Linked DNA regions of Styela clava. The protein of the gene in region 1 purifies or fractionates together with the protein of each later gene. This does not show direct contact. Links are inferred from orthologs where the notes say so. Each region holds a gene or a part of one and is shown in the gene's direction. Other genes may lie near its edges.

What was found.
Region 2: the proteins of centrosomal protein of 135 kDa-like (region 1) and WD repeat-containing protein WRAP73-like purify together in Homo sapiens (co-immunoprecipitation; 6 studies listed by BioGRID and IntAct, counting the BioPlex papers as one, with this or other methods). This does not show direct contact. The link is inferred for Styela clava from reciprocal best matches to the Homo sapiens genes CEP135 and WRAP73.

What each region holds. Positions count from the first base shown.
Region 1 is NC_135258.1:9,381,760-9,397,653, reverse strand, and holds centrosomal protein of 135 kDa-like, read left to right. Parts: upstream 1-9,050; 5' UTR 9,051-9,213; intron 9,214-10,677; 5' UTR 10,678-10,687; coding exon 10,688-14,197; 3' UTR 14,198-15,797; downstream 15,798-15,894. Other genes in the region: dynein regulatory complex protein 12-like, read left to right, coding at 558-1,157; A-kinase anchor protein 14-like, read left to right, coding at 1,521-1,640, 2,122-2,241, 2,705-2,884, 3,498-3,550, 3,628-3,712; F-box/WD repeat-containing protein 2-like, read right to left, coding at 4,206-6,080; zinc finger MYND domain-containing protein 10-like, read left to right, coding at 15,872-15,894. UniProt on the Homo sapiens protein: Centrosomal microtubule-binding protein involved in centriole biogenesis. Acts as a scaffolding protein during early centriole biogenesis.
Region 2 is NC_135264.1:16,443,628-16,459,190, forward strand, and holds WD repeat-containing protein WRAP73-like, read left to right. Parts: upstream 1-9,812; 5' UTR 9,813-9,814; coding exon 9,815-11,158; 3' UTR 11,159-12,132; downstream 12,133-15,563. Other genes in the region: repressor of RNA polymerase III transcription MAF1 homolog, read right to left, coding at 2,521-3,276; ADP-ribosylation factor-like protein 2, read left to right, coding at 8,293-8,847.

The sequences.
Region 1 (15,894 bases):
AATTTTACTCAAAAGTCAACAAATACAATGTCAATATACATTTAATGTGACTTCTGATGCTTCAACGGCTGCTCACATGCAGCCAAGTTGAAATCTACGATACACATCACCATCACCCTTCTTTCGTTTAGGCATCTCTGTACTAGTTTGATTTAAATATGACAAATACTGTAATTAGTACGTACAAACGGACGAAAAGCTTTTCTCTATAGCTCCGAAACTATAACACTTTGTGGCGTCACAAAATAGATTCCAGAATCCCCTAGTTTTGTCACAATGCTTGTCTGGTAATTCTCTCAAATAACATAGACATGCGCTGGGCGCACGTTTTCAAACGTCTTGGCAAATTTGGCTATAAATAGGTTTGAAAACTCGTTAACAATTGTAAGCTTAGCCTTACAATATTAGATTTTTCTGGGAGCCATATTTATGCCGCCATCAAAAGAGCCATATATGGCTCGCGAGCCATGGGTTCCCGACCCCTGATATACATTATGCTTTATTTTACTTCTTATTTATTCAAGCACTATCAAATTCTATTATAGTAAATAAATAAAATGCCACCAAAAAAGAAAAAGGGCAAGGGAAAGAAAGGAAAGAAGGGCAAAAAGAAGGATGTAGCAAAAGAAGAAGACAAATTTAAAAAGACTGTTAGAGAAATTGAAATTCTGAAAGAACATCTCGCTCATCGAAATGAAATTGCTCGGAGATCACAAGCCCAAGCATCAGATTGGAAGAATCGTCTTCATGAAATGGAGGAAAATCTTGAGGAGCAGAAATTGGAACAAAAAGATGTCAGTGCAGAGTTGACTCGACAATATAAAACGATGCACACGGATATGGACATTAGAATGCGAGAACTAAACACAGAAGTAGAACATCTAAGACAACAAGTAGCGAATGCAAGACAAGAGCTTGAAACAACGAAACGAGAAAAAGAAGAAATGGAACAGGAAAAAAACGAAACAATCAGAATATTGGAAAAAAGAATCGATGAAATGGAAATATCATACGAAGGAGTCCTTACGGCTTCGCTTGATTCACTTATTGGAAAAATTGATGAAGCTAAGGATAAATGGGATCAAGAAGGAATTAAAATACAGGAACAAACTAAAATTACTCTTCTAGAGTTCGGTCTGAACCCTCTGGATATTTGATAATAAATTCAGATAATTTGTTCTGTTGAAAGAATTGCTTACAAGGTCATACGGGAGAACATTTTAAATCCGCTTGCCTTCAATGATAGACAATAAAACTTATATGAATTCTAAAATCTGATCATTGGATTAGACTACCTGCTCATATTTGTTGATGATTATATTCAATAGCTTACTGGAGAACTAGGTATATTTTAATGTAATCCTGTAGTTTTCATAAATCATTTTCATCACTGTGTTGTGAATTGTGCGACTTTCATTTGTGTCTCACTATTTTTACCTTGTTATCATTAATTTCATAGTACCATATTGATAGGTTTAAAGGTTTTAGGGATACTACTGTATAGTTGTTGTGACTAAAAAATGCCTGTAAGATGGAGTGATGAAGATCCTGCTGAATTTGATGAGGAAGCATTCAAAATAGTCGACGACGTAATAGCAAAAGCTGTTCATGATGTTTCAGTTGAAATTAGACATAATTTGGTATGTATATTTTATATGATATGTCAAATCTGGCTTGGATAGGCCTTGAAGCTTCATATACCAACGGCGTTCCGGTTGTTGGACAGTTCATTGCGTTCCTGTTGTTAAAATAAAATTATGGTTCGAAAAGTCTGGTTTCCTCGGGAAACTTAGTTATTAATTGATGTTTTGTTGCATCATAATTATTTTTACATTTCAGCTGGCAAATAATTAGTGCACAGCAGTAATGTATAATGAATGTTTTGCCGACCTTTGACCCTTGTGAACATTTGTATTGAATTAGTATGAATATTCTTTCAATTTTAAAAAGTCATATTTCAGATAATTTCATTGTAGTTCTTCGGCTCTATCTTACGATAGACAAAATTACTGGTAGCGCCGTGTTGTAAATATATATTACATTTTCACGAATTTGGTGCGTTCCGGTTGTTACGATTTTTCTAGCTCATCACTGACCGTATATATATATATATATTTTCAGGCCAACCTTCCAATAATATTTGAAGATAAAGAAGACTTTGGAATTCCAAACATAGAATGGTCGTCTTGTGAAAACTTCACTCCAGAAAATGGAGTGGGTCAGATAGAGAAGTTCATCGCTGTATGTCTTGAATTTTGCTCTTTGTGCTAAATTTTATATATGTGTAATGTGTATGCAAATGTGTATTATATAGAGAACTTCACTAAACTATGCTCTCAAATGTTGAAGCCAATTATGTAGGTCCTCCTGAAGTATGCACACCAAGATGGCGCACAACGTGAACTCAGGTTGTGTACCAGGTTAGATTCAGGTTGTGAGACATCTTGGTGTGCATACTTTAGGAGTACCTATATGTACAATCTTTGACTGGTGATAAGTTAAGGCTGGATCTGTAATAGCTAACAAGTTACGGTAATTGTTTAATTTTATAGACTATAAATAGTTTTCAGGTTCTACAAGAGCAAGGAGTTCGGATATCCTCTTGCAGCATATTAACTTGTTATTCTAGTTCTTCGCCGATTACCTATATGAAACATTTTTCATAATACAATATATTCATATTAGATATATTTTACTATAACAGACTTGGAAGCGAGATTCAGCATGGTTATACTGTATCGATTATATGGGTGACACAGAATTTGATTATGATATTCGACATAAATATAGAGTAAGATGGAGCATACCAACTAGAAGAAAACCAATACCTAGAGCAACTGCCTGTGTCTACTTTACAATCAGTCTTTCGAAGATTAAACCTAAGGTAAACGCTTCAAAATTTTGTCAACAATTCTAAAGTCTAGTAGAATAAACTAAAGTGAGGCATTTGAAGGGTACTACTATATGTGCAAGTGCAAATGTTTTGTACTATCTCCATAAGCTAGCATAGACTTGGTCAGAACTATGACATTCATTTTGTCAAATGGTTTTAAAATAGTTAGTGAAATCTCAGTGCTAAGGTCCTCAGTTTGATTGCCTTCGAATGTTCCATTTTGAACTCTGATGATAAAAAGAACGATATAAAAAAACATTCAGGCGCAATCATATGGTATGAGAACACATTATTAAAACGAGAAAGCAAAAAGTAATACGAATGAATGGACATGGACCATGATAATTGTGTGCAATTTTCCAAGTAATTCTTCACTGTCAGATAATTTTCTTCAAGTAATCAAAATTGAAAATTGATTAATCTAGTATAGTTATATATTAAAGAGAAACACCGCATTGGCGAAACCGATGCTAAAAGAATACTTTATGAAAAAATTTTCATGATGTCATAAAGAATTAAGTATCTTGAAATATTGATTTCCCCTGAGCATTTGTATGTATATAGTGTCATTGTCAGCGACCAATAATAAACTTCATTTTTACAGACTTTGCCTGTTGAAGTATTTTACATATTCGAAGGAAACAGATTAGTCCATAAGTAAGTGATTTTGTAATGACTGTTGTTGTATTTATTTTTACACAAAATCTCTATCCTTACATCATATATATTTTCAGGCCAGGAAAATCAAGATTTCGTGAAATCTGGTTGAAAAATCTTGTTGAAAGCAAAATATTAATGATGGAAACTGTTACATTTTAGCTATTATCAACTACCATAACTATTTTTGTATATCAATAATATTTTATATTTTTCTAAACAACAAAGTGTACAAAAATCGGATGTCACTTCCAATAAAAAAAACACTTTACTTGGAGGCTACCTATCATTAATTGCCATGCCGCTGATGCACCTATATTATAGTTAGTCTCAATATGCAGTGGAAATATTTAGCCTAGGAATAAAGGAATATCGACAAATCTAAATTAGGGGTTTGGACTACTGCTGGGAATAATCCGCTTCTAACAATCTACTCGTACTCTTTTTCTGTGCTCAATCCATATATTACAATTATCCCCTTTTTCAGTAATCACCAATATTCCCAAAATTGTGCTGTTACTGTATTGAAAACTAAAATGGCAGTAGTTTTGTTTATCTGAATATCCAATGCTTTTTTTAATAAATAGAACATTACATATATTTTATATATTTATTTTAAATTCTCTCAGGCTATGATTATTTAACAACAATAATACTATGAACAATCAGACCATTGTAATAAATATATAGAATGGTCTGGTAACGCCGCTGCAAATACTAAACCGGAATGGTTCGCATCACTAAAACCATTCAACCACGATTGATCTCCACAAACATAATTTGAACCTCGTTTTGACCAACGACACATAGGTAAATTCCACCGCCCCAAAACGCCTGGAAGACTTTCCGTTCCAACATTCTGTTGGAGTTGAAAAGTGCCTCCATCGTCGGGAGTTATGTTATTAGATATTACAGTAGGAATATGACTGTCAGTCTTTGATTTTGGTAATTTAATACTGTTATAATTGATATCGTTAATTAATTCATCTTCAACTGTGCTACTACTATTAGGTATACCATGATGTCTTGCAGAATCGTCTGTATTTGGGGTTTCAGTAACTTCCAGGCTTAGTTTCGTCGAAAATTTTGGAAGTTTTAATGATTGTTCAGGTAATGAACTGCTGCAACAAGCCTTACAGGGCTCTGATTCGACTTCATAGTCGACCGTTTCCGGACTAGGACTTGGGTGACTAACTGAGGGATTATTTTCTAACACTAGTTTTTTACGGTTTAACAAATTAGGATGTTGCGATTCTGTGGTGCTATCAAGCACTCTAATAAACAAACAGTTTTCTCGAGTGTCTGCAGCAAAAAACATAGTTTTACCCGCTCCAAGTAGAAAAGATGGGTCGTTTTGATGAGGAGTTACTCGAGTTAGAGTATAGTCTTTAAAATCCCATTCCAATACTCCTCGCTCGGATGAGCACATAATCCGTGTGCCATCAAAAAGAAGTTGCGGATGAAGGAAGCAATGTTCATTGTTATCATCAGTATTAAGAGGAGTAGTAGGATAAGATGGCATTGAATTTGATAAAAGTTTATCACTACAATCAGTAGCTGATAATTCACATAAACTTTGACAGTTGACCTCCTCACTTATCAGCCATATTCTTATCTCAACCTTGTCCATAGATAAGATAACATAATCACCAGGCTTATGGTGAAGGGAATCAACTTCACTCTTTCTTAAAATGACTTTTGTTACCCATTCTCTATGTCCATGATACATGTTTATTTGTTCACCTGTTGAAAGTTGCCATAAACGAACTGTTTTATCTGCCGATCCAGATACAAGCAACTCTCTTTCATTGTCATAAGAGACGCTAAAAACAGCCCCAGTATGTCCTCTATAATTCCGAATCATGTCTCCCGAACTCCACTCCCAACATCCAATCGTGTTATCGAAAGAAGCAGTGTACACAAAATATTCATCAAATGCAAGATCTGCACATGTATGAGTCTGTATAATCTGTAAACATTCTCCGGTTACCACATCCCAAAGTCTCACGCTTCGGTCATCTGAACCAGACGCCATCAAATTATTTCCGTTGTATCGAAGAGTATATACACGAGCCGTATGTCCAAGTAAAGTTAATACCTTAAAAGCAGAACCACTTTTTAATTGCTGTAGTCTTATCAGAGCTCGCTGGTAAGTTTTTTTCCAATAACCTCCAGACATTATGGAATCATCCACTTTCCACCCGATAGTCTTGCATGCTTTTAACCATGCTGGCTGACACGCAGAAACAGCTTCATTCCAAGTTTTACTGACTAGGCAGCATCGTCCTAATGAAATGGGATCTAGCCAGCTCAGAAGATAAATACATATTTCTGTTGGAAGAAATCGAACAAAGTCCCGCTTCAAAAATATTTCCAGACGATCTGAAAGATATTTCAGTTCGGGTGCTTCACATGCATCTATAATCCCATCCAATGCTGTAATTTTATCTTCAGTTGACAATTCTTGAAAGTCTGCTACAACTTTGGACAACCAGTGATTCATCTTAGAAAATTTTATTTTTTCTGCCATATTTGCTAAAAAATAGTATCAGAAGTAAGATTAAATAAATAGCATATTGCCCAGGCTTTGATGACAACACAGGTCTAAAATATTAAAAATGGTTCTGGCATGGGCCAGACATATGTCGTAGCCTCACACAGTGTGTAACGAATGGGTTATATTGTTGCAAGGAATATTATTGCATAATCAAGTAATTTAAAGCATGTTGTTTGTTGTTAAGTATATGAGCCTAGACAATTGGAATTCAATGGCATTATCTGGAAGAAAATTTTTTGGTGCCAATAAGCATTACTCATTTTAGAATGAATAGAAGAATGTGATATTGCCATTGCAGCACGAAACCCCAAGAACGAATTAATTAGTCTTTCAATAAAATTATATACTGATTATAAAAAAAACATATATTTAATAAATATATCTATCAATAGAATAGATATAAAACTTGAAAAAAACAGTTATATGCATATTACGGTAAGTGGGATATGTACGAAATAATTCCTAAAATGTTCAAAGGACCAAAAAAATACTTGCTGTGGAAAGAATCATATCAATATAATCATATAATATCAATATATTAAAAACTTTGACTCCAAGCCCCTGAGGTCCATAAATGTCTAACTTATTTGAGGTTTGAGCAGGGATGGCCATTTCCGAATACATTCTAAAATCGAAAATAACATATTTTTTTTAGTTTTAGTCCATTAAAACCCAGTAAAATAGGAAATAAGCTTCAATAGAAATATCAGAATAAAGCCACAAACCAACAGTATATGTACACAAATTAATTGATAGTTTATAGCTATCAATGAAAATAATAGCAACTTGTGACACAGTCAGTTGTACACTTAGTACAAATGACCATAAGAAAAGATAGCCAAGGAGTTGTCTGACGCTTTCTATCAATGGTACCATGATTTTACGATAATAGTCAAGTCTATTGACAAAAACACTACTTGTATTCAGATAAGTGTGTATATTTTCTGAGAGTAATAAAATTCATTGGCAATACAGGCAACTGAAGCAAGGAACAACATTCGAATATCCATTATGTCTAGAGCAGGGCTTCCCAAACTAGGGGCCGCGGCCCTGGAAGGGGTCGCGAAGAGAACACCAATTTTACACAAAGTACTATATCTATTGCACTTTTTCAGACTCCTAATTTGAAATACAATCATTAAAAATAGTGTAAAACGATAAATTCACGATTCCGAGTGAATATACATCATCACACCGTGTTTTCCCGATAATAATTGTCATCAATTTTCTTTTGAACACTGGAGCTCATTTTAGGGGGATGTTGAGAATAACGAGATTAATATACGAAATATGAATACCGGAATATGATACAAATTTAATAGCACGTTTCCATTAAAAATAGCGGCTACATATAGGTTATCAACAATTTAAAAAGTAGATTTCTTTCAACTATAGGACTCAGTAGTTTTCGAACTTAATTGTATTGTGACGACCTCCAGAAATATGCTCAAGTTGCGACTTCCCGTGAAAAATACCGTACGTATTGATACATTTCAATATAATATCTTTTAATATAATATAATACCTTTTTTGCATTGAGTTTAATATAAACGAACAAACAAAATCTAACAACAGTCAGTGAAATCGAATTCAATGGGCCATGGTAGAAAAGCCTGCTTAATATAAATACGAAATCGCAAAGGAGATGTGGTGCGCAACGCTTTTTGAACCAAGTAGAAATAATCTTTATCTACAGAAAACCGAACTTTCAGAACATGAGAATCTCATCGAACATGAGTGAGTTTTGAGCATTTTGAAGAAAAACTAGGCAGAGTTGAGCAAGAAAGATTTGCACCATTACATTGAATAATTTGAGTAAAGATGTTTTTGTTATTGAGTAGCCCTATTAAAAGTTAAGAATTGGCTGTGTCAATAAAATATTAAAAAGCATATTTTGAACTTTTTAGCATTATTAGCGTGAACAAGGGCCGCGAAAAACTTTAATATATCAAAAGGGGCCGCGAGCTCAAAAGTTTGGGAAGCCCTGGTCTAGAGTATTCTACTACCTACCAGTATATTTGTATATTAATTTATGTGAACTATATTGTTATTATGTGTATCATATTGTTATGTCTGAAATTAGCAATAAGTTTTCAAGGATTTCACGATTTTCGAAATCGGAAATTCCCATTGCCTCCTGTAACAGCCACCGCGATTCCGCGCTCGTTCCTTTCAGCGTATAATGATCATCTTGTCACGTAAAATATTCAATCCATGACAACTACGAGATTCTGAAATATCTTTATATATTAATTTTATGAGTCAAACGTAACTCGCAGTTGCTTCTTCATACGTCTAAATAAAAACATTACTATTCGGTCCACGGCGATCTTATGGCATAGTCAGGTGGGGGTCAGGAATAACATACAGACATATGCAAAATTCGTTATGCTATGCCAACTGGAAGTAATTACAGAATCATGGTAGCCTACAGCTGTACAGTGATACTAAACTACTGAACTATACTAGACTGGCTGGTCAACACGAGTAGAACTCTCCTTAGAAATGGATATGGCCTAAATTGATCAGCAATAAACAAATACAGAAATATAGTACCCCAAGCATATTACCGAACTGAAAAAACATTACCCCGACTTTTACAGTTTTACTGCTGCCGCCAGTCGGCGGGCGTGAAGGTACTTGCTTACCGTACTGCCGTATGGAAGAGATATATTTTCGAAATTCGCATCACTTACCTAGGAATAAACTACTATCAATAACGTATCAAAACCGGTACCTGTAATATATTTCATTTTGACGAGCTCCACAATGTGGATTATTAAATAGTCAAAGAATATCGTATACTGGTATACATACAACAGAGCTGTGAAACGATAATAGAGAACATAGGGTAACGATGTTTTATGTCCGATCTTATCTGAGAAGTTGTGAGACGCTAGATGGCGCTATTGAATTGAAAAATTACAGTCAACCGTTTCCCTCTGTTTTTCGAAACTTACCGTATGCTGTGTTGTTTACTTTGCGGTGCCGTCCCTCGTCGATTTTGACGATTCGCTCGCGGATTATTGCCGTTGGTTGTATTTCATTGTTAGGCTCATTAAAGAATCGGATATGGAATAAATTATTACTAACGAAGGATGATCAAGTGAGCTATTGAAATAATTATTTTTTGTAGAATACTTAAGGCTGCCTGCAACGTGTTAGCCTAATTAAACTAAATTAATTTTGTGTTTGTTCGTTTATTGTTTTGTTTTATACCAGAGCGACCGAAATAAAATTGATTGATTGATTGATTAAACTGGCAATTCAGCATTTGTCTGAATGATACCTAGATAGAACAGTTTTACTTCTGTCCTCACTGTTTATAATATAAATATTTATTACACCTGTGTTTTTGAGTTGCCCAGGAAGTTTATGCCCTTTTTTGAGAGACAAGGGAGTGCTTGTTTTATTGAACCTGATGTCTGAATGATGGGACATCTCGGAATGGAGAACTGTGCCAAACTGTCAGACTGTTGAAAGATGTTATTGACAAAACTGCAAAAGACATGCCTTGATTTTAGACTACATAAAATCTGGGGTCTAGTATAGTTTAGTACCACAAGTACTTTCATTGGGCGTAGCATAACGAATTTTGCATATTTTATTCCTAACCACCACCTGACTATGCCATCCAAAAATTACGTCACTACGACGTCACCATCACGTCATAGGGCTTGCCAAATTATAATTACGATCGCCCGAAATGGCATCTGCTCCTCCGATAACGAACTCGCTAAAGCCGGCGATCTCTCTCCTATCGTGATCGTTGTGACAAGGAAACGAGAGAAATAGCTTGCTCGATTTCGGGTGATCGTCTGCGCGATTTGGACGACCATCCACATACTTTGGTGGGCCTTATTACGCCACTGCGACGTCGAGATGACGTAATTTTTTGGTGACGTAGTCAGGTAAGGGTTAGGATTGACATATGCAAAAATTGTTGAGCCAGGCTAACTAGAAGTGAATGTGGTACTAAACTATACCAGACCCAAAATCTGTATAGTGGTCGCAAATAAAATGCAGATTTGAGTCGTTTGCATACCTATCTGTAAAAATCATGACACAGTAAATCAGATGAATATTTAAAATAGGAGTTTGTATGCATTTCTGTTGTACTTGAATAACTATTGTTTTATTGGATGCCATTTTCTATTTCAAACGAACAATATTTGAATAAAGATATATTCAAAATCCAGTACGTCACAGTTCTCCGATTCCAAGAGAGAAGCCCCACATTAAAATACATCAATTATGACAGTGATTGCAAGCCGAGCATAGTTAGTAAATAACCGTTGTTACGGTGCAGCAGTTAGCGATATATGTTGCTACTATGGTGAATAAATATCTGTAAATAACACTATAAATATTTGTGTATTTATATATTATTGTTTTTCAATAACTTCCAAGGTGAATGTAAAACAGAATCATAACTCGATCAGTTTTGTGTTTAGAAAAGTCTGCAAACCACTTTGAGCGCACTAGCATAAAAAATCATGAGCCAGCGTTGAATGTTGTTGATAGTAATCTATTTAAGAGGTTGATTAATCCATGAATTGTTTCCTTGCAGATGATTCACGATGAACAAAGTTACAGAACAAAAGTTTGTGACCCTGCGAAAGCAGTTGGATCAACTGGGTTATCGTCATGCCTTTGGTATCGATTCTATGCCGCTGGTAAATCAATTGTTCTCGGATTTGTTGCACACGACAGATTCATTGAAGAAGGCAAAAGTTAATTTGCATAAAGCAGCTGCACCAACAGCTAATCCAAATATTGATGATATTTTGGAACCATATAGCAAGGACAACGCTCGTCTTGTACAAGAGAATAACAGTCTTCATTTACAATGTGTTAGATTGAAAGAAGAAATCGATGCAACTTCGAAGGAATTAAAATCTAAAATCATCAAACTTGATCACGAAAATTCAGATTTACGTTTTTTGAATAATCAGTTTGTTCATAAAGTTCGTGTCCTGGAAAGCGAAACGGCTTCGAAAACAGAAAGTATTCAAAAACTGCAGGAAAAGAATTTACAGGCTGTAATTCAGACACCGGGAGGCAGAAAACGCAACATTCCTTTCCGAAGGCAACATATGCAAGTTGATGGTACACTTCCGCCATCATTTTCTGCTTCGTATATATCGACTCAACCCGATGACCCATATATCGCTGATCTATTGCAAGTTGCCGACACGAAAATTGATCAATTAGCTGTTGAATTAAAACTCTTATCGGAATCGAATTATGTTTGTGAGTCGAAGATAAGCACATTACGAGGTCAAGTTGAAATGCGAGATAGAGAAATAGAACGCTTAAATCGGTGTCTCGAAGGCGGCAGACCACATGATGTTTTGTCGTTAGAAGCAAAAAATAGCGCAAATGAACGATTGATCTCTCATTTGAATCTACAAGTTGAGTATTTACAACAAACTAACGAAGAACTCGAGATTCGTTTAAAAGAAGATGAAGCTCAACATGAGGAATGTCAGATGAGTGAGAGACGTTACGCTGATGAGGTGGAGAGGTTAAAACTGGAAATTAAAGAAATCGATCATCTTGCTAATCAACTGGAAAACGATAAAAGGAAAGCAGTTTCAGCTGCAGATTTGGAAATTCATGAAGCGCAACAGGAATTAAGACGCTCACAAAGACAAGAAAATGACTTGGAATCGCAACTTGTAAATGCCGAGGAATCTCGAGAAAAGTTAATCACTGAAAATGAGGATCTTCATTTAAGATTACAATCACAAGAACAAGAAATTGATGGTTTGAACGAATTATTAAACAAAGTTAAAACCGATAAAGATCTTCTTAGCAAACAAGTTAAAAATCTCATGGACAAGGAACGAGAACTTGTCATGGAATTAGAAGATCAGCAATTATCTGGCATCGGGGTACACAGGAAGGATAGAGGGGAAAGTAGATTAGATGCGTTCATAAAAACGTTGGAGCATGAACGTGATTATTATAAAAACGAATGTGATTTACTCAATTCGATGTTACAGAAACGAGAAAAACAAAAAGATTCTGATATATTAAGATCGACATCAAGAAGTCCAAAGAATAAAATTATGGATAAAAGCGCTTCGGAACAATTTAAACAATATGAAAAAGTAATTCGAGAAAGAGATGAATTACAAGCTATGTTAGATAAGTTCGAAAGACACATGTCTGAAATTCAAGCGAATGTGAAAATTTTAACACAGGAACGTGACAAGACAAATTTATTATATGAACAAACGCATGATGAGCTGCAAAGACTAAGAAGAGAAGCGGTACGATCTCCGAGATCTGCTAAAGCATCATTGACAGCACAAGCGATTTTACGGCGCGTTGAAACTGAAAGAGACAATGCGGTTTCTGATCTCCGTAGAATGACAACCGAACGTGACAGCTTACGAGAACATATCAATATTCAAAAAAATCAGTCATCTACTAATATAACAAGGTTAGAGCAAAGATTATCGGATCTAGCTGATAAAATCGAAGCATTAGAAGGAGAAAGAATCGAACTTAAGTCAAGATTGCAGTCGACAATGGAATCTAACATTGCTCAAGAAGAGGATCTCAAAGCTCTTCGAGCAAAACTACATGAACTAGAAGCAGAAAGACAAGACGCACAAGAAAGATTTGAGGATTCCCAAACTTGTAGAATGCAACTTGATGCATCACTAGAAAACACAAAGCAAAAATTATCCAAAAAAATGAAAGAGCACGAGGTTTTAGAAGATAGAGTCAGAGTACTTGAAAACAGAATTGCGGAGCTTCTCGATACTTCTACGAGACAAACAGATGATGCCACTGGTCTCCGCACCACAGTCACTATCCTCGATAGAGAAAAGGATGGTTTACAAGCAACTTTAGATGAAAAAACAGAAAAAATAGCTTTGCTTGAAGATCAAATCGCAAAAAGAGAAAGCCAAATTATGGATCAAAGAGTTACAATTAGCAATATTGAAAAGCAGTTGGATCGGGCCACAGAAGATATTTCAAGTTCTGATCGAGAATTAAGAAGTTTGCGTAGACAACTAGACACAACACAAACGGAATTAGCAGAAGCATTACGAGGTAGGGATGTTGCCGTCAGAGAAAACAGCCGACTCCAAGATGACCTCGCAACCTTGACAAGAGAAAATCAAGATTTAAATATCGAATTAGACAATGTGTTAAGAGAAAGAGAGGAAGGTCGTGTCAAAATTAAAGAATTCATTTCACGAGTCGCAAATTCTGAAGGCAATATTGCTTCCAAAGATAGGGAAATGCTAGATTTACTCGAGCAATATCGAAAAGTCTCGGTGGAACGAGATACAACTGAAAGTAAGTACAGACTCTTGGCAGACGAAACACAAGCGCTGAAGTTAGAACTCATGACGGCTGAAAATGAAAAAGTTCGCCTCGGAGATAAGAATAGATGTCTGGAGCAAGAGGTTTTGGAACATCTACATTCTCAACAAATTTATGAAAATAATATTGCAGAACTTACATCAAATATACAGCGTCTTGAAAACGAGATTCACCGTTCAAACGAAGAACGTTCTCTCATTGCTGTAGATTTATCTTCCGCCCGAGACCTTAATGCAAAACTTGATATCGGCAAGGAACAATTTGTCCGACAACTCGCATCGAAGAATGTTGAGTACGAACAACTTAAAGTCCGACACGATGAATTAACTCGAGAAGTTGAAATCTTACAAGAACAAATCGAGAGCGATCGTATGGAACGTAAGAATTTAGAATCGTTAATCGCTTCTTCTCGCGAGAAAGAATATCGTTCACAAACTTCTATGCAAGAGTTAAACGGCAGTTATCAAAACCTTAAAGATCAACTATCTCTCGCAGAAGGCAAACTTACACATCAAGGACGAGAAGTAAACACACTTAGAGCAAAAGTATCACAACTTGACGCAGATTTAGAAATCACAAAAAGACAACTTACAAATGAAAGGTACGAGAGGGAAAGGGCAGTTCAAGAGTTACGAAAGCATAACTTACCATCACCCATTACATCAAGGTCAGATCGACCATCACCGAGTCAAAGACCCCGGTCCGCAAGTCCTGCTCGGGCATCGTTTTTGGACACGAAGTAACTATACTTTCCAAGTTTCAAAATAGCTCGTTTTCCGATTGCATTTGTCATTTGCTGCTATGTTCCAATATCTATCTCAATGTCTTGCTTCTCGTGCCAACAGTGTTTTTCACAATTTTCTATACTTTTTATTACACAAATTTCGGGACCAAAATCTTTTTAATTGTAGTATCTGCTATTCAATTTTAGATTTTCAATTTTTTGTATCTATAGATAGGAGTAAAAATTTAAGACATTATGATACAATTCTGGCCAAAGAAAAGCATCATTAGAATACTAGTCCAGAATATGAAAATAGTTTAATCAGGGGTGCAGACATTTTCTGGTATTCTATGGTGTACCAGTCAAAATAACTGTTCTATATTATTCATAGATACTTCTTTTACATAAAGTCAGCATGTTTGTTTTTCTTATAAAAAAGAATTGTCTTTCAGGTTTTTGGTTAATGAAAACCTTTTTAGATAGATATAGATTCAAATTTATTTACACCTTTTGTGTGAATTTATCTTCCCTGCTCTTGAATGGGTATTATTAGACAGGGATTTATCAAGATCGGTGGTTCCCAGAGTTAATTGACCAAAATTAGAATCTGAATGATATTTGCGGGCAGGTAGAGGGGAGACTCCGCAAGGGCCTTTTACCGGTGCCAATATGTATAATTAAGATACCGAACTGAATTGTTACGAAAATACATGTGCTTGAACTTTGGTAATGACGTAACAACTGGTGGTATATCTTGAACACAAAAAGAAAAAAAAGCACGGTAAGCGCGGTAAACTATTCCACTCAAGCAGGATTTTGGTGTCTATATTAAATCATTACCTGTGCTTTAATTGGCCTGCGGGCTGCGATTTGGGAATCACTTTTCTAGATTATGTGAAACATAGCATATTGAACTAAATCTCAAATCCAATGTTTATGTCATTATGATGCATATGAGAAACATGCTGCATTTTTCTTATGCAAAGTAAAACAGTTATGTGTCATTTAAATACTTGGATTTGCTATGGAATTGAAGCTGATATTTAGGTCATTTTTGTACCTGATCAACTGTGTTTATGTTTTCGTAGGTGTTTTTGTTTTCGAGCATTCTTTTTGTGTTTTTATCCACTGTTCATATGGATCTTCCATTTACAATGGTGTTCCTAAATCTAGTTGGATTTTCACAAGGTTAGCAAACTTTCATATTAATAAACGGCTTAAGTAAAACATGATGCCCATTATAGTTTGCATCCCCAAATAAACATTTGCGAATAAGATGAATTAAGAAGGCATTGTATTTATTATAGTAGAATTTCATAGAATATGTCTCACATAACAAATTTGAAATTCATAAAATAGCTCGTTTTTTAGTGCCTGTTTGGATTTGATGACAATTTTGTCTTCAATCCTGAATATCATTCCTGTGGCATAGTTTGTCTGATATATACAGACAAATGCAACCGCTAAACCATAATGTCTTTTCATTTTTAGTGATTGAATTATTAATGCATTTCAATTTATTCGCTAGATTTTTGTGTGTGTTTTTCTAGTGCGTTCCTATTTTGTTTCTCAACTTTTTTTACATCTTTCATAAAATAGTATTTATGTTCCTTTGTAGATTTAGTAATAATTCATTACAAATATAGAATAACATTACATTATCGATGCATTAATCGAGCAATATAAAGAAAAAATGACAGACGGATCTGGGGAGTC
Region 2 (15,563 bases), on another chromosome or scaffold:
GCAATCAGAAGTAAAAGGGACTCATCTTTAAGTAATTTGCACTCGCTCAAAATTAAGACACCCACCTCTGAGTGAAGTTACGTGCACTCACTCAGAAGTGAGTAATCTTAGGGCCAAAGTTATGGGCACTCACTCAAAAGTAAAGGAGACTCATCTCTGAGCAAAGTTATGGTCACTCAGAAGTAAAAGAGACCAATCTTAGGGCAGAGCTACAAGAACTCACTCAGAAGTAAAAATTTCTGATAGAAAACTCTTCTCTTAGCTGAGCTCGGGGGACTCATTTCTGAGCAAAATTGCTGGTGAAAATTAAAATCATAAGAGGTTTCAATGCGATATCATTTTATGAGGGTGACATTGACTAGTAAAAGAGACTCATCTCTGAGCAAAATTATAAGTGACCAACAATGCCAAGAGTTACTAAAAACGATACAGATTAAGGTTGGTACATTACTCTTACTCAAAAAGCAAATAAAAAACATAAATTTCACCATATACCATCGTAAAAAGTCACTTTAATGCATTTTAGAATACAACATTATCAGTAATGAAGAAAAGAAAGTTTGGGTTTAAGTGTTAGGCATCAAGTGCTGTTGACACCCTTACTGACACTTGAAAGGCCCAATTGAAAATAGCCTCTAGCTGTTAATTAATTTACGAAATTATGTGGGCAAGGGAAAGCCAAAACAACTGGAAGGAATACTAACACATTAACATGTCTCAATCATTGTAAGTTAGGGCCCATAGCCTTTTCTGATCTATCATGCAGCTTGTGTGGATTGAAATTGAGTAAAATGGGTATTTCCTTGTTTATTACTTGCGCTTGCCTAGAGCCGTGTTCAGAAAAAGAATAAGCCCTAAAATGACTATAAAGTGCCAATATCAACACGAAATATTATTGCAAAATATAACCTTACTCTGCGTTTTCTCAGAATATAGATTTAATTAAACAAGTTTCCAAAACACAGGATATGAATGCGCTTTTCAATTCACACTTACTTGTCATGTTCATAACAAAGAGAGGTGTCAGTCACGCCATATCATATAGCAAAATATGCTTCATAAAGGAATGGACCACATAATGAGTACTAAATATACATGGCTACACCAGAATTTCTCAAACTATGACCTCCCCCCTCATCTGAGAGGCCACAAGCCAGCAAATATTTATTGTACTTTTTTAGACTTTTGATTCAAAATACAATTATTGAAACTAGTGCACACAATAAAGCCGACTTTGATTGTGATTGTAAGGCCTGAGAATCATACATAAAAATGCCAACTTAAGAAAAATATTATTATGTATGAAAGGGCTGTGCGCTTAAAAATTTGGGAAGCCTCGTTCTAACTCACTATATGATTAGTTAGTCTGAGTGAAATTTTTAAAATCAATAATAATCATCTAAGCAAACTAATGCAAAATGTCATAGAAACGTACAGTTCTGTCATACATATGACTCATTATATGATTAATATAAGTGAATCATACCATGAAGTAAGTCATGTTATATATGCATTGTAGCGCATTGCACATCTTATAAAATTGATGTATCTAAAGGAAAGATTAACTGACGAATTGTACATTATTGAAGGTGTCCAAATTTTTCTCCAAAACACAACATAAACCCTAGTATTAATTAATGCAAAATTAAAAAAAAAAAGTCAGTTAAGATATCATTTTCAAAATTGTTTCAACTTTGTTTAGTCATTCCTAATGGGTGTCCATGTCCAAAGTTTTCTCTTAAAGTTAACACGAACCCTCGTATTGATGCAAATTTAAAAAAAAATCTATAAATTGTATCATTTTGTTTGGACATTCTTTATCTTCAATGAGATTCCTAAATACCAGTAATAGCGAACATCCTATATTTTCATTATAGTTCAACTAGGGCTCACAGAGATATCAAAAAAATCAATTGATATTAAGGACTGTCGAATATACAAATTGTTGGTAGTGTACCATTCTATTGTGTTGTTAATTTCAATGTTGATGATTCCAGTAGAATTTATATGCTTTAACTTAATCCAAGGTTTCATTACGAAAAAAATTGCAATTTTATACATTCAAATCTAAAATTTTATTGGAACACATTTTTCCGAATAATAGTAACTTAAATTCCGCTAAATTTTGATGCTATGAACAGTAATATTTGTAGCAACAAAAATTGTAATTAACTGACTATTTTTCTATTTGTTTGTTGACTAATGCCCAGTAAGAATCTGTCTGATATATTCAGTTATAAGCAAGTATTGCTATATTGCTTCAAGATTGGTCGATACTTTTTCAATTTTTTGAAAAAACACATTAGAATCCACAATATTGGCTGTTTGAAATTTCGCCTAGATCAATTCCAGTTAATTTACAGATCAATTGATTATATATTGATTCAAGTAGTATTATTGATATAGCATATAATCAATTATTAAATTTGGTCTACACCATGCATTGAGCAATCAGAAAGAATATTTACAATATTCGTATGTCGTACTTCAATTCGAAAGTACGATTAATATCGATCAAAATCACTCAACGACGATAGGCATCGAGTTTTCTTCTTCTTCTATTCCGAGGAAATACTCCATTTCCTCATCACTCATGTCAAGATTATCCCTTCCGAGGCCGGAGTCATCATCAGCAGATGCAGATTGCGCTTTGCACGTGAAAAACACGATTCTTTTCTTTTTGAGATTGTAAAGAAAGAAATTGAACGACCATAAACATCCTTCGTCTCCAAACGGATCGCATTCAAGATCTGGATTGTATGAGTAGACATTGCATTCTTTTAGGTCGATCTCCTCATCAACCGTGTTCCAGAGAGTGCTGTGAAGGCGATGGTAGTGTTCGCCGAGAACTGTACCTAGAGTATTGTCGATGAAACTTTGCACCCAGGTGACGCTCGGTTCTCGAGAGAATTCATCACTTTTTGAGTGGCTGAAGTCGTAATCAGGTCGAAATGACGCGTTGAGAGTAGATATGAGATAATAGAGCGTTTTGCGACTGCAAACGTGACTGAGTGGGTTGTCATTCTCATCGGCGCTACTCAAACTTCGACTGTAATTTCCGGCATTCGGACTCGCTGATAAAATCGTTTGAGGTGGTGCTAACGCAGCAAGATCAGTAGGCGGAGCATCGTGTGAAAATACTTTAAAAAGTCGCTTGTCATCGCCAGCCATTTTGCATGAATAACTCTCGATACGTCCGATAATTCGACAATCATCGTTTTTCGTGAAAAGTACGCTATTCAAACGATCCAAGTTAGAGTTCTCTAACAACTTCATGTCTCCTGTTTAGTAAGTGCAATTTTCTCGGTACCAAAAAGTTTTTCACAGTGATGACCTTTCAACCTTCAATGACCTTTAACTTGTTTATAAACTACAAATGTTCTCACACGAAAGTCTACTCGAAATTGACGAAATAATAGCAAGAAGCGAAGAAAATATTGTAGTGGAATTTTGTTGGGAACACTCCTTATGCATTATTTGTTTTTGTAAATTCCTCTTTTCTTCAAAAAACCTAAAAAGAAAGTAATTTTAAGCAATATAACAAGAATTCGTTCAATGCAATAGGGCACACTATCCAAATTCCAGGAATGTCCCGTCGTTTGGTTCAATAATATAAACACTCCAGGCGTCTTACAAACGAGGGGCATCTAGCATGACAGAAGATGAGGCATATTGCACCATGCTTGTCTCGATAATAATCTAAATTAAACGCGGCTGTCATGTGGCCAAATCGAATTATTTTTTCCAGAGAAATCTAATGATGACGTTTTTAGATTGAATTTTTTTTTGTAGTTTTTTGCGCAACTTTATTTTACTGTATTTTTACCGATATTGAGGGACAACCATGTCCAAACGTCCCCAAAGGGGGGGGGGTCTGATCATCAGTAAATGGGTTTCTCTGAAACGGGACAATGTTGCTCAATCTGCATAGTGTGCCGTACCGCAATGATGCATCAGAGGAAAAGTCAAAATGTTCACTATAAATGTGAACAAAGTTTCTCTCTGCTAATTTTGTTATAATTGCTGTAGAAGCCTTTGTATGGAAGATTGCAAGCACTAAATTACCCCAACAATATAATATTGTACTAAATACCTAAACCTAAGTAGATAGGTACACATTTTCAAATTTTGCTTTTGCCCTTATAAAATTGAGTCAAAGACACAGATGGTAACAAAACAATGAAATTACAGAAGTACCGTAAAACCGGCTAATTTCGGATGCCTTCTAACTTCGGATGAAATTTTCAATCGTTCATATCTCAACTGAATTTCGTCATATTGCGCTTCTGTCGGTTTCTATAGTAAGGCCTTACATATATGAATCTGTCCTACCCTCCAGTCTCTCGATTTTTTTTTTTTTTACTCAAAAAATCATATTTTACCAAAAAAATGACACCTTTTTTTGAGCGACTCAAACCATGACTTCTACCGACGCGACTTTCGCCAAATTACCGCCAAGCGCTAGAGAGCGTACACAATGTATACAAAAAAATACAGTGATCACGAGGTGTCGTACGAGATTCGAGTGAAATCGATTATTTTGATTTAAAAATTGCATCAAAATTTCGACGTTTTGATGATTACGTACAGCGTGACGTCAACGACACAAATCGCTTTCTCTCTTTTCATAGCCGACGTCACTTTGCGTAGCTCGTGCGTAACTCGCCGCGACATTTGAACGCAGACCTCGCGGCGCCCAGTATTGTGAAATTTAAAATTTGAGGACATCCATGAGCCTTGTCCCTAAATCCTACAAAAACATCACTATCGTCTCAGTCATATGTTCTTTATTTAAAAATAATGCGTATACATACGCTTGATGCATATAAAATTTGTCGATTTCTGTTTTTGCATACTTTCTCCGACACCGATAGATAGCAATTGGTAACACGTTAGGCTGATAAACATCCAGTTTCTAGACGTTTCTATACGACCATAATGATTAGATATGTCTCTTTACGATCGACCGAGGATAATAAGATCTTGAGCATGGAACGTTAAACAGGTTAGCGTGGAACTTCTAGAAGTTTCTATAGGATCATGATGATTAGATATGTCTGTTTACGACATATCAGCTTCGCGACGAGGCAAGAGTAGCGTCACGTACGAACGTCAGTATGCATCACGCATAACGCGTCGAGGCGGCGTAAGGTCTGCTCAGCGACGTTGTCATGCGTCACTGCTCACGCAGACATTTCTCTCTCACGGCGAGGTGACGCAAAGAGAAAAGCGGCCATCCGAAGTTAGATAATTTTAGAATAGACGAATAAAGTCGATAATTTCAATGAAAAAAGGCTTTGGTGGATGTGAAACCGATTTGACCATGACGAGAATAGCCACAATGTATTATATTCCAAATTTGGCTTCAATTGAACAACATGCGGCAGAGATATTGTTCAAAATATAGTAAAATCATTCGAAGTTAGCCGGTTTTACGGTACAGGACCTAGCGTAAGTAAATAAGTAAACATTTTGAATGTTTATTATTATTGAAAAATTATAAAATTGAGCCAGGGACACAAATATCAAAATATTAACAAACAATCAAAGTACAGAAGTCTAGAACAGAATATTCAAAATATGTGATAACAACCTTCAGCTGTTTAGAGAAAAGTAAAATGAAAAGATAAGTAGGCCTACTGAAGTACGGTAACAAACCTTTTCAACAGTTGAAGTCAGAAAGTGCCCTCAATTAACGTTAAATTCCAAAATTTTTGTAAGTGTAGAAATAAATCAGTTCTGCTGTTCGGAAATTATAATATCAATATCCACCAGTCAACCGGAGTCAATCAGAATAGGTATGTAATCCAGCAAGTTTAATAAATGTAAAGCTTAAATAGTGTTGAACGCTGTCTGTGATGACAAAAAAAACGGTGAGTGGACTATTTCCGCGGTTGTATGTCGACCGGATTAATTTCCTTGACAGCTTGTGTCTGTGTGTGTTGGTACCGGTACCGTAGTCTACAGGTAAATTACATCAGACCAGTTATTACAGAATTTTATTTAAAAACTAAATTCTTTATTTAATTAGTTTTAGTTTTATTTTGAAGTGTTTAAAAAGCACTAGAATCACTAAATTCACAAACAAAAGCGCGCAATGTATCAGGAAAAAATGACAGCAGACTCCGAGCGACGACTCAGCCTAAAATGATAAACAAAAACCTATGACATCATATTAGAAGAAACCAGAATTAATCTCGACGCAGCCTACAATTTAATTAATGAAAGGTCACGTACTTAGATTCAAAAATGTCATTTTCTTGTTTTCACAAAAAAGCTATGCTCAAAGATATTATCACGTTAACCAGAACGAACCAGAGGAAATATAATCTTTACTCACTGAAAATTTCAAAGCAAATGATCCAGTAATCAATGAGAAAAGTGATTTTTTTCATAACGATACCAAGTAGAATTCAAAAAAGAAAAAAAGAGTGTCATCATAAAATGCAAAACGTTCACTCAAAAGTAACAAAACTAATTAAGGCACGCACGCACAATTTTATTTAAATTTCATAAATATTTTTCTATTACCGGGAAAAAAGTTATATTGCAGAGTGGTCCAAACCCTGGCCCATTGGCAGATATTTGTATTTATTGGAGGAACATTGAGTTCTTTTTAGCTATTCTGACTCGAGTTGAGATCCCGAGATTTCAAACCTTTTCCTAATTTCGATGTCGGGAATCATATTTGTTAGAATAACGAAGGTTGTATTTATGAACGTCAAGGCGGTGTCGATATGAAAATGACGTTCTGTGACCGGTACGATCGCGTGTCGATAGGCTGTTATCCTTCAGACATTTTTTGCCTTATTTTAGTACTAGCACATCTCTATTTTCAACGTGGGCCAGTAGTAGTCAAACGCATATCTGAAGCAGTAACCAAAAGCAAGAAACAACACATTGTTTTGTTTGTGCTTAATATATCTTCCTTAACATAAATAATGAAAAACGACACCGATGCAACATAACAATAAAATGATAATAACGGTAAACTCTCATTCTTTAAATTTAAAGTAACCAAACTCGCAGTTCGCAGTACTTTGATTACTTTTGGGTATCCCGACTGCGGCCCGCTAGGCCTTCTTCAAATTTTCTGCGGTCCTTCGATCTAGCAACCTTGGACCACGCTGTTATATTGCATAAAAATAAAATAGCTTATAGATTAAACTCTCTCCTTCCAAGCTGAACCCTGCTGTGAAATCATGAAGTTAAGTTTAAAAGACCATCGTGCTAATTAGTCTAAGTAATAATAAGCCGATAAAACGGCTTAATCACATGGCATATCACGACTTTTCGGCCGGTTACCGGTCCATGTGGAGTACGGGATTAGTTAGCCAGTTGTTTGATTTCAGAAACATAGACTCGGTATGTATTAATCGGTAGTTTATTTTATCATAATACTTAGAACAAACTTTTTACGAACAGAATATAGAAAATAATGTAAAAAAGGCATTCCAAGATGAAAAAGGGCGCGTAAAACAAATACTGAATATCAAGCAGCATCATACTTGATTATAGGTCTAACAGTAATAAAAATTCAGAATAGGATTTACATATTTATCCCGGGTAAAAGGAAAGCCGACAAACGTCTCAAACATATAGCAAACCACGGCCTCTCGCCCGGTTACCAGTCTATGTTGTGCACCGGGTGATGTCGGTATGGAAGTAATTAACCAGTTATTTCTGATGAAGTGAACCCCCTACGGCAACTAGACCTCCAGCAACTCTTTCGCAAATAATTATCTCTCACAGGAACCTGCAAACAAATGAAGGGTAATCATAAGTGCGGTGGTGAGCGTATCCTAACGCATAGTACGATGCGCCATACCGCTGAACTAAGATAGGACATCATTTTTATCTCGTGGAGAAGAAATACGATCTATCTATAGGGGGCATCACGCCTTTTAATGCGATTGTGCACCGGGAATGGCCCAGAGAGTTTGGGAAATCGTTTTTTTTTGATCGATTTGTTCCAATTCATTATTGATTACTCATCTTTAAATGATTGATTTGTTTGGTGTTACCACCTGGTACATTAATTCAGACAATCTGTATTTGAAATATGCTCTGTCAATTTTAATGTGCGTATTTATTTGTATTCATTCATTTATTTGTGTTTTTCGTTATGTGAATCTGGCGCCTGGAATAGAACTGAAAAATTATTAGCGCGGAACAGTTTGGGGCTAAAGGTCACTCCTCTTCAAATAGTTTTTGTCGTTGGCGAGCTCGCGATATTTCCTTTCTTTGACTCGAATTTGTTGGTTTTTAGTCGAAAAATTCCACAATATCAACATGGGTCTGCTCACAATTTTGAAAAAAATGAAGCAAAAAGAAAAAGAGATGCGAATTTTGATGTTAGGCCTTGATAACGCGGGTAAAACAACAATTTTAAAGAAATTTAACGGCGAAGATATCGATACAATTTCGCCGACGCTTGGATTTAACATCAAAACTATCGAACATCGTGGATTCAAACTGAACATTTGGGACGTTGGAGGCCAGAAATCTTTACGGTCTTATTGGCGAAACTACTTCGAGAGTACAGATGGATTAGTTTGGGTGGTGGACAGCGCTGATAAACGAAGAATGGAAGATTGTATAAAAGAATTGCAGCTTCTTTTGGTTGAAGAAAGACTGGCGGGGGCAACTTTGCTCGTTTTTGCGAATAAACAGGACCTACCAGGGTCTCTCTCTTCAGAAGAGATCAAAGAAGTTTTGGAATTGGACAGTATTAAAACACATCATTGGTCTATTTTTCCATGCAGTGCCGTAACCGGGGCAAATCTATTGGAAGGGGTGAACTGGGTTGTTGATGACATTTCTAGTAGAATATTCACGCTTGATTGAATTTATTTTGTTGTAATATTCCGTTTTTCGTGCATGAATTATTTGTAACACTGTCATGTAAGATAGTTATGATTTTTAGAAATTTAATTACTGAGAAATATTGTTCCAATCGTAGCAATGATACATACATACATACAATGATATTGAATATTCTAATCAAAATTAAATTAGGTCATTTTCTCAAACTCTAGATTTGAGAATTTAAAAATTGTTTATCCTGGATATTTCCAGTTATTCCCCCCCTACTTATAACCCCCTCCCACTAATATATGAATGCCCACACTCACTAATAAAAGTATTTTGTTTATGGAATGTCTATGAAACATTCACCATTATTTGGCAAAATTTTTAAAATTTCCAGCATTATCAAGCAAAAAATTAAAAAATAGGAGAATTGTTGATATTAGTGGGGAGAGGGATAACTGGAAAATGTCCAACTTTTCATTTGAAATCTCACAGTATGATCAAAAAGGCTTTTAGTTTTGAGTGATAAAGAATAACCAATCAAATCACTCTTCATCTCAACTATCCTGAATCTCCAAATTCAAACTTCCAGAACAGCAGTTCCCATCATATGGGGCCACAATGCTAGGCGAAAAGCTAATTTGACATTTCATTTTATAAGAAAACTCCCCGTCTTTCCTAGTTTCATTGCTTGATAAGGTTTTTTCGCTGGGTGTTTTCACTTTGTTAAGGTTGATAGTGTTTGAACATATTGGCATTTGGAATCTACCAATCAAAATAACACTATATATACCACTGGATTGATAAACATGGGCGCCATGAGTGCTAAAAGCCCCCGGAAGTGGGCCACGATCCAAAAAAGGGTTGGGAACCACTGTTCTAGAACTTCTATATCGTGTTCTTCATTGAAAATAGTAGGCCTATATGATTTAAATCTGTGATAGACTTCGATTTGCACTTCTCTAAATTTCATGTGTAATAATTTTTCAGATTTACCGTAAGAATGAATTTTTCAGAGCTATTCAAGCAATCTAATTTTTTATGTAAGTTTTCTCCTGATGGAAAATACATTGCGACTTGTGTCTCTTACAAACTAATCATAAGAGATGTCGAAACTCTGCAAATTTTGCGACTTTATACATGCATGGATGTTATTCAACAAATCGGTTGGTCATCTGACTCTGCATTCCTGCTCTGCGCTATGTTTAAACGTGGCATTGTTCAAGTGTGGTCTATTGAGCAGCCAGATTGGACTTGCAAAGTTGATGAGGGGTCGGCAGGTCTTATTAGAGCTCAGTGGAGCCCTGACGGACGTCATATCCTTACGACAGCAAGTTTTAATCTACGAATCACAGTTTGGTCTCTTGTGAACAAGTCTGTATCTTATATACGATATGTAAAGAATTCAAAAGATTGTTTAAGCTTCTCAAAGGATGGAAAATACCTCGCTCTCGGTGAAACTCGAAAATGCAAAGACTATGTTAGCATTTTCGCAGTCGACTCGTGGCAAATGGTGAAAATTTTTGAGTCTGACACAGAAGATATGGCTTCGTTGGAGTGGTCACCAGATGGCCGTGTTCTTTGCGTCGCAGATAACATGCTTTGGTATAAAGTTTTGATCTATACGATGGATGGCCGTTGCTTAGCAACCTATAAAGCATACGAATGGGCATTAGGAATTAAAAAAATGTCGTGGTCCCCGACAAGCCAGTTTCTCGCTGTAGGGAGTTACGATCAAAAAGTTCGCCTATTGAATCATATAACATGGAAATCAATTTCAGAGTTTACGCACACTTCGACAATCCAAGGCGGAAATGTCGTAGTTTATAAAGAAGTCGAACAGCGACCGACTCTTCCCACGAAAGAAGAAGAAGGCTCGAACATGATGCCGTCGTTATTCAGCACACAAAGTAGATACGAATTTTGCGAACACCCCATTGATCTCCCTTTCATGCCCCCAAACCCAGATAAGCCAAACCCCAAAATCGGGGCTGGTTGGATGGAATTCAGTCCTGATAACAAATATCTGGCGACTGTGGATGACAGTATGAAAACTTGCGTCTTTATATGGAGCATGCAAAAACTATGTTTGTACGTCGTTTTACAGCAAACTTCGCAAATCAAGTCGTTAAAATGGGATCCAAAGACTTGTCGTTTGGCAGTGGCTACAGGAAATGATAAAATATATCTTTGGTCCCCATCTGGGTCTGTTTCAGTCCAGGTACCTGTGGGGGCAACGTTCCATACCCATTCTATGGTCTGGCACCCAAAAGGCGGCTCGTTAGTGCTTTTAAGTAAGGATCAAATGTGCGTGTGCTATTTAGAGTCGCAAGCAACTACGAGTTAACATATTACTATGAGTCTGCATAGCTCTTGGCTTTCCAGCAGTTGCCCATAACTTTGCTCAAAGATGAGACTTCTTCACTTCTAAGTGTGTGGCATTGATTTAAGCAATTCTCCTAGAAAAACTGGAATAATGGGATCATATTTACTAAAGAAAATGGGGCAGAATTCGCTTATAAATCGGCTGTGTAATCTTTTTTTTATGCATTATTGGTTACTTAATAACTTTTTCTCACCACTGTACGTGTTTTACCAAATATGATATGAATAATTTTTGGGAAATTTGTTCTTTGGAAATATTTACTAAAGTCCTTCCATAAATAGATTCAGAAAAATGAGCGCATGTTCACTAAACGACCTAAGTACTTCTATTTGGCGTGGCACAACCACTTTTGCATTTGTTATTCCTAACCCCCACCTGGTCTGTCATTCAAAGATTACGTCACTACGACCTCATAATCACGTCAGTCCGAAATGACACTAACACCAGCGATCTTTTTCATATGGGGATCATTAGGAAGAAAAAGCGAGAGGAATAGCTTGCTCGATTTTGGGTGATCGTCTACAATTCTTGGATGACAGTTAGTATAATTTGGAAGACCTTATTACAATACTGTGATGTCATTTTTGAATGGCGTAGTCAAGTGGGGGTTAGGAACAACATATGCAAAAATGGTTGTGCCACGCCAACTAGAAGTACCCACGTTGTGTTGTGAACATGGCCAGAAAAATGTACTTCTCTGACAGCAGATCTCTGTGGTCAAAGATATCAATCTCAGTGATTACAGCCTGGCAGCATTGTCACCTTTCAGTTGGAACATTTATGTTTGAGTTATCACGTTTTAAAATATTTTGTTTGCTGATCTTTGTTTTTGTAGATTTGTCCTTGTACTTTATTAAACTGTTATTTTTGTATTTATTGTAGTTCTATTACACTTGGAAACAAAGCCTGAATTAAAAGCATTGAGGAAAACAGTGTTGGGCCTTAAGTTCTCTTTAACTGAGAGTTTTGGCTTTATTGCCATTACTGGTAATGCTTTAAAACCAATGTGCCTTTGCCTTATGTAAAAATAAAAACCCAACCTTTTATTCTCCTTATTTTAGTTCTATTACGAGTTCGGGGACCACCTGTGTTAGCCAAGTGAATATACCACCTGCCCATAGGTTTCGGTCCCTTAACACAGCTTGATGTAAAATAGGTGAACAAAATTATTTACCTTCATATCGGTACACTTAAAATGTATGTATGAACAAAAAGACAGACGAATATTTGTCAAATGAGTAACGTGGCGATACTTGACAGAAGGCAAATGGATCAGTGGTGGGCAAATAACATGAGCGTACTGATATTTTTTCTAGGACCAACAGCAGAAATTACTAGAAGCATCTAATTTTATTTCGAAGAATTATATTCTACAAGATATGTGCACTGGAAACCCAGGAAAAGTACTAATATCAATGGTACAAATTAAATCATACAGTTACCAAAACAAAAAATTCAAGTTGCAGAGAAATTACCTCTCGAAAAGAAAAGTTCTCACAACAAATTGTTATAAATCAACATGTTCTTCAAATTACAATAAGTGGAGCTCTACTTTTCCATGAAACCAGAACAGACTTGGGCACCTTGGAATCCCCGAACATAATTATTCTTCTCTAGTCAATTCACAATTAGTGAGGAATATTATTTAGAATGATAGAAATTTAAAAACATCAAACTGTTTTGTATAAAATATGCAAAAATGCCAATTCAGGAAAGCAATAAACACCATATTAATAATACGAATTAATGTTGAATGTGGCGGATTCAATTCCATAATCACTATAAAAGAAGATATAAATGGTTGAAAGTAAAACAATGAAAATTAAAGTTTAAAATGCTCAAATTTTAAACAAGGTGATACCAAAAGGTGTGCCCACTCATCTAAAAGTGGAACAAAATCCAAATTTAGGAGGTGGTAGATATTTCAATATTAATGATAAAACTATCTGTAACTTGACTGATCATCAGAACTGGTTTATATGCCACTTTCTGGATATTCAAATACAATTATATCAAAGTATTGAATTGAAGAGTGGTGTCATACCTCGAAATTAGGGAGAGTGTGTTAATGTTAGGGGAGTGTTAGTGGGGGTATTTGCCCCAAATAGATCGGGGGGGAAACCTCTGATCTAGTACCCTCATGCCCAGCCTGGTTAGTGGGAGACGGCAGTGGTAGACGCCAAACAATTTAGATTTAGCCATGTCTTTGGTTTTTCTCGCTCCCGTGAAGTATGCAAGCCCATGCATCTGGAATGAGTAACTAATCAAGTATACTAATACCCAACTTGGCTCTGTGACTAATAGATAGATTTCTCAACCAAAACAGATGTAAATATGAAGGCATACATACAAATAAATAAACACTTTTTTTTGGTTATGACTGGAGGGTGCTCTCCCCATGGATGGCAGTCCATGGTTCTTCATATGATTACTGGATTAAGTCATGTAATTAACTTTCCCACCCCCCCGAAAATTGTATCAGAGTTCATTATGCCCTGGGAAATAATGAAGCGTGCCATGGCAGCATTGGCACTTCTGAACTCAGGTAATAATATTCTGGTAAGCCACACGTCACCGATTTCCCACATCAATTTAGCTGGTTAATTTTCGTTCTACAAAGCATTTTCATTTGGTCTAAAGTGCTTTCTAAATCAACTTCACTTTTTCGTGATTTAGATTTTTGTTTTTTGTCACTTTTCGTCTCTTTTTTTACTTTAACGTTCGTCATTCTGTGTTTTATATCGTCGTATGCGATGTCAGATTTGGCAACCTGCTCTTGAGTTCGTTGGAGCTTCTTTTTATCGGCGATTTTCTGTTTTGTCTTTCCTGTCTGGTTCTTTTTCCCGATTTTGCTGACTTGAAAAACTTTATTATTTTTGTTGCTAGTTTTCTTACTCGCTGTTTTAACCTTTTTCTGGTTTACCTTTGCCATTTTCAAGTTATTGTTGAACGTAAAAGCCCGTAGCCTGCTTTAGGTTAGGACTTGAAATAGGTGAAGGGACTTCCCCGTTTATTTTATACATGTGCGGTGTGAGCGTAGTGACTAGTGAGGTGAAATTGAACAAAGCAGAAATGATAATTAAACTAATTATTTAATTGGGCGATAATATAACTCGAACGGAATTTGTTGTTATTCGTATTGGGGTAGTGAAATTTGGCAATTTTGACGGTCATGTAGATTTCAAATTTTCAGAAATAATCGCTAGAGGGCTATTACCTTTCTTACTTTTTTGGATGTACTACCGTAAATATATACTACTACCGTGTTTCCTCGAAAATAAGACTGGGTCTTATTTCAATTTTTTTTTCGAAAAATAACACTAGGACTTATTTTCGGGGGATATCTTATATTATCATTTATCAAAACCATAATTACAAAGTAGAGAATTGCATGATATCCATTTACTTATAAATAACTCATTTTTATTCAAAATAACTGCAAAACATAGATTATCAATCATTTAAAACGTGTAGGAGAGATACCTTGCTATCGACTAGGACAGGAGTGGGCAACCCCTGGCACGCGAACCCATTTATTCGGCACGCGAGCGAGGCCTCGGAAACCAGATCATTCTTTTTCAGATAAAAAGTTTCACGACTCAAGAATTATCTGATGAAACTAGGACGTTCATTTATTATTCGTTGTTAACAATCCATTATTTATTTAAACTCGTTTTGTCCTTTCATGACATAAGGCTACAAAGAAATATATTATGACGTAACAAATGAGTGAGCTCTCGAAAAATTTTGTCGAGAAGAGCGCAGAATTCATTCGGCTACATCCTTGCGTAATATAATTCGTCTGTGCCATCCTTTTCTTCATTTCTGCTTTATTTATGAAGTTGTACAGGACATGTTGGTTAGACTTACTTGCTAACTTGCTGTTATAAATTGATTTCGAATGAAATATAAGCGATTGTGCGCGGCGATGTGGCTCATTGTGCTAAGCGTTAGGAATACGCTCATCACCGCACCTCTGATTACTCTGTGTGGGTTCGCGTCACCACACCTCAGAAAACAAATAACTACCGGTAACTAATCCCATACCCGACATGGAACGGTAACCGGGCGAGAAGCCGTGGTTCGCCATAGGGTTAAGTCGTCTTATCGGTTTTTCTCTCCCCGGGATAAATATGTAAATTCCATCCTATCGATTAGGGAAGGGAATACAAGAGAGAAATGCAGAAAACGAACTATTGCTTGATTAGGATGCCACTCCGGAAAATTTTTTCGTGTTTTTAGGACCTTGGCAATCTAAATTTTTTTTTTTTTCTCAGTTATGAACTTTATTAGGTCTCGTAACAGGAGTGACCTAAAAAATGAAACCATTAGTTCCCGTATTTCTTTGAAAGTTACAAAATATAAA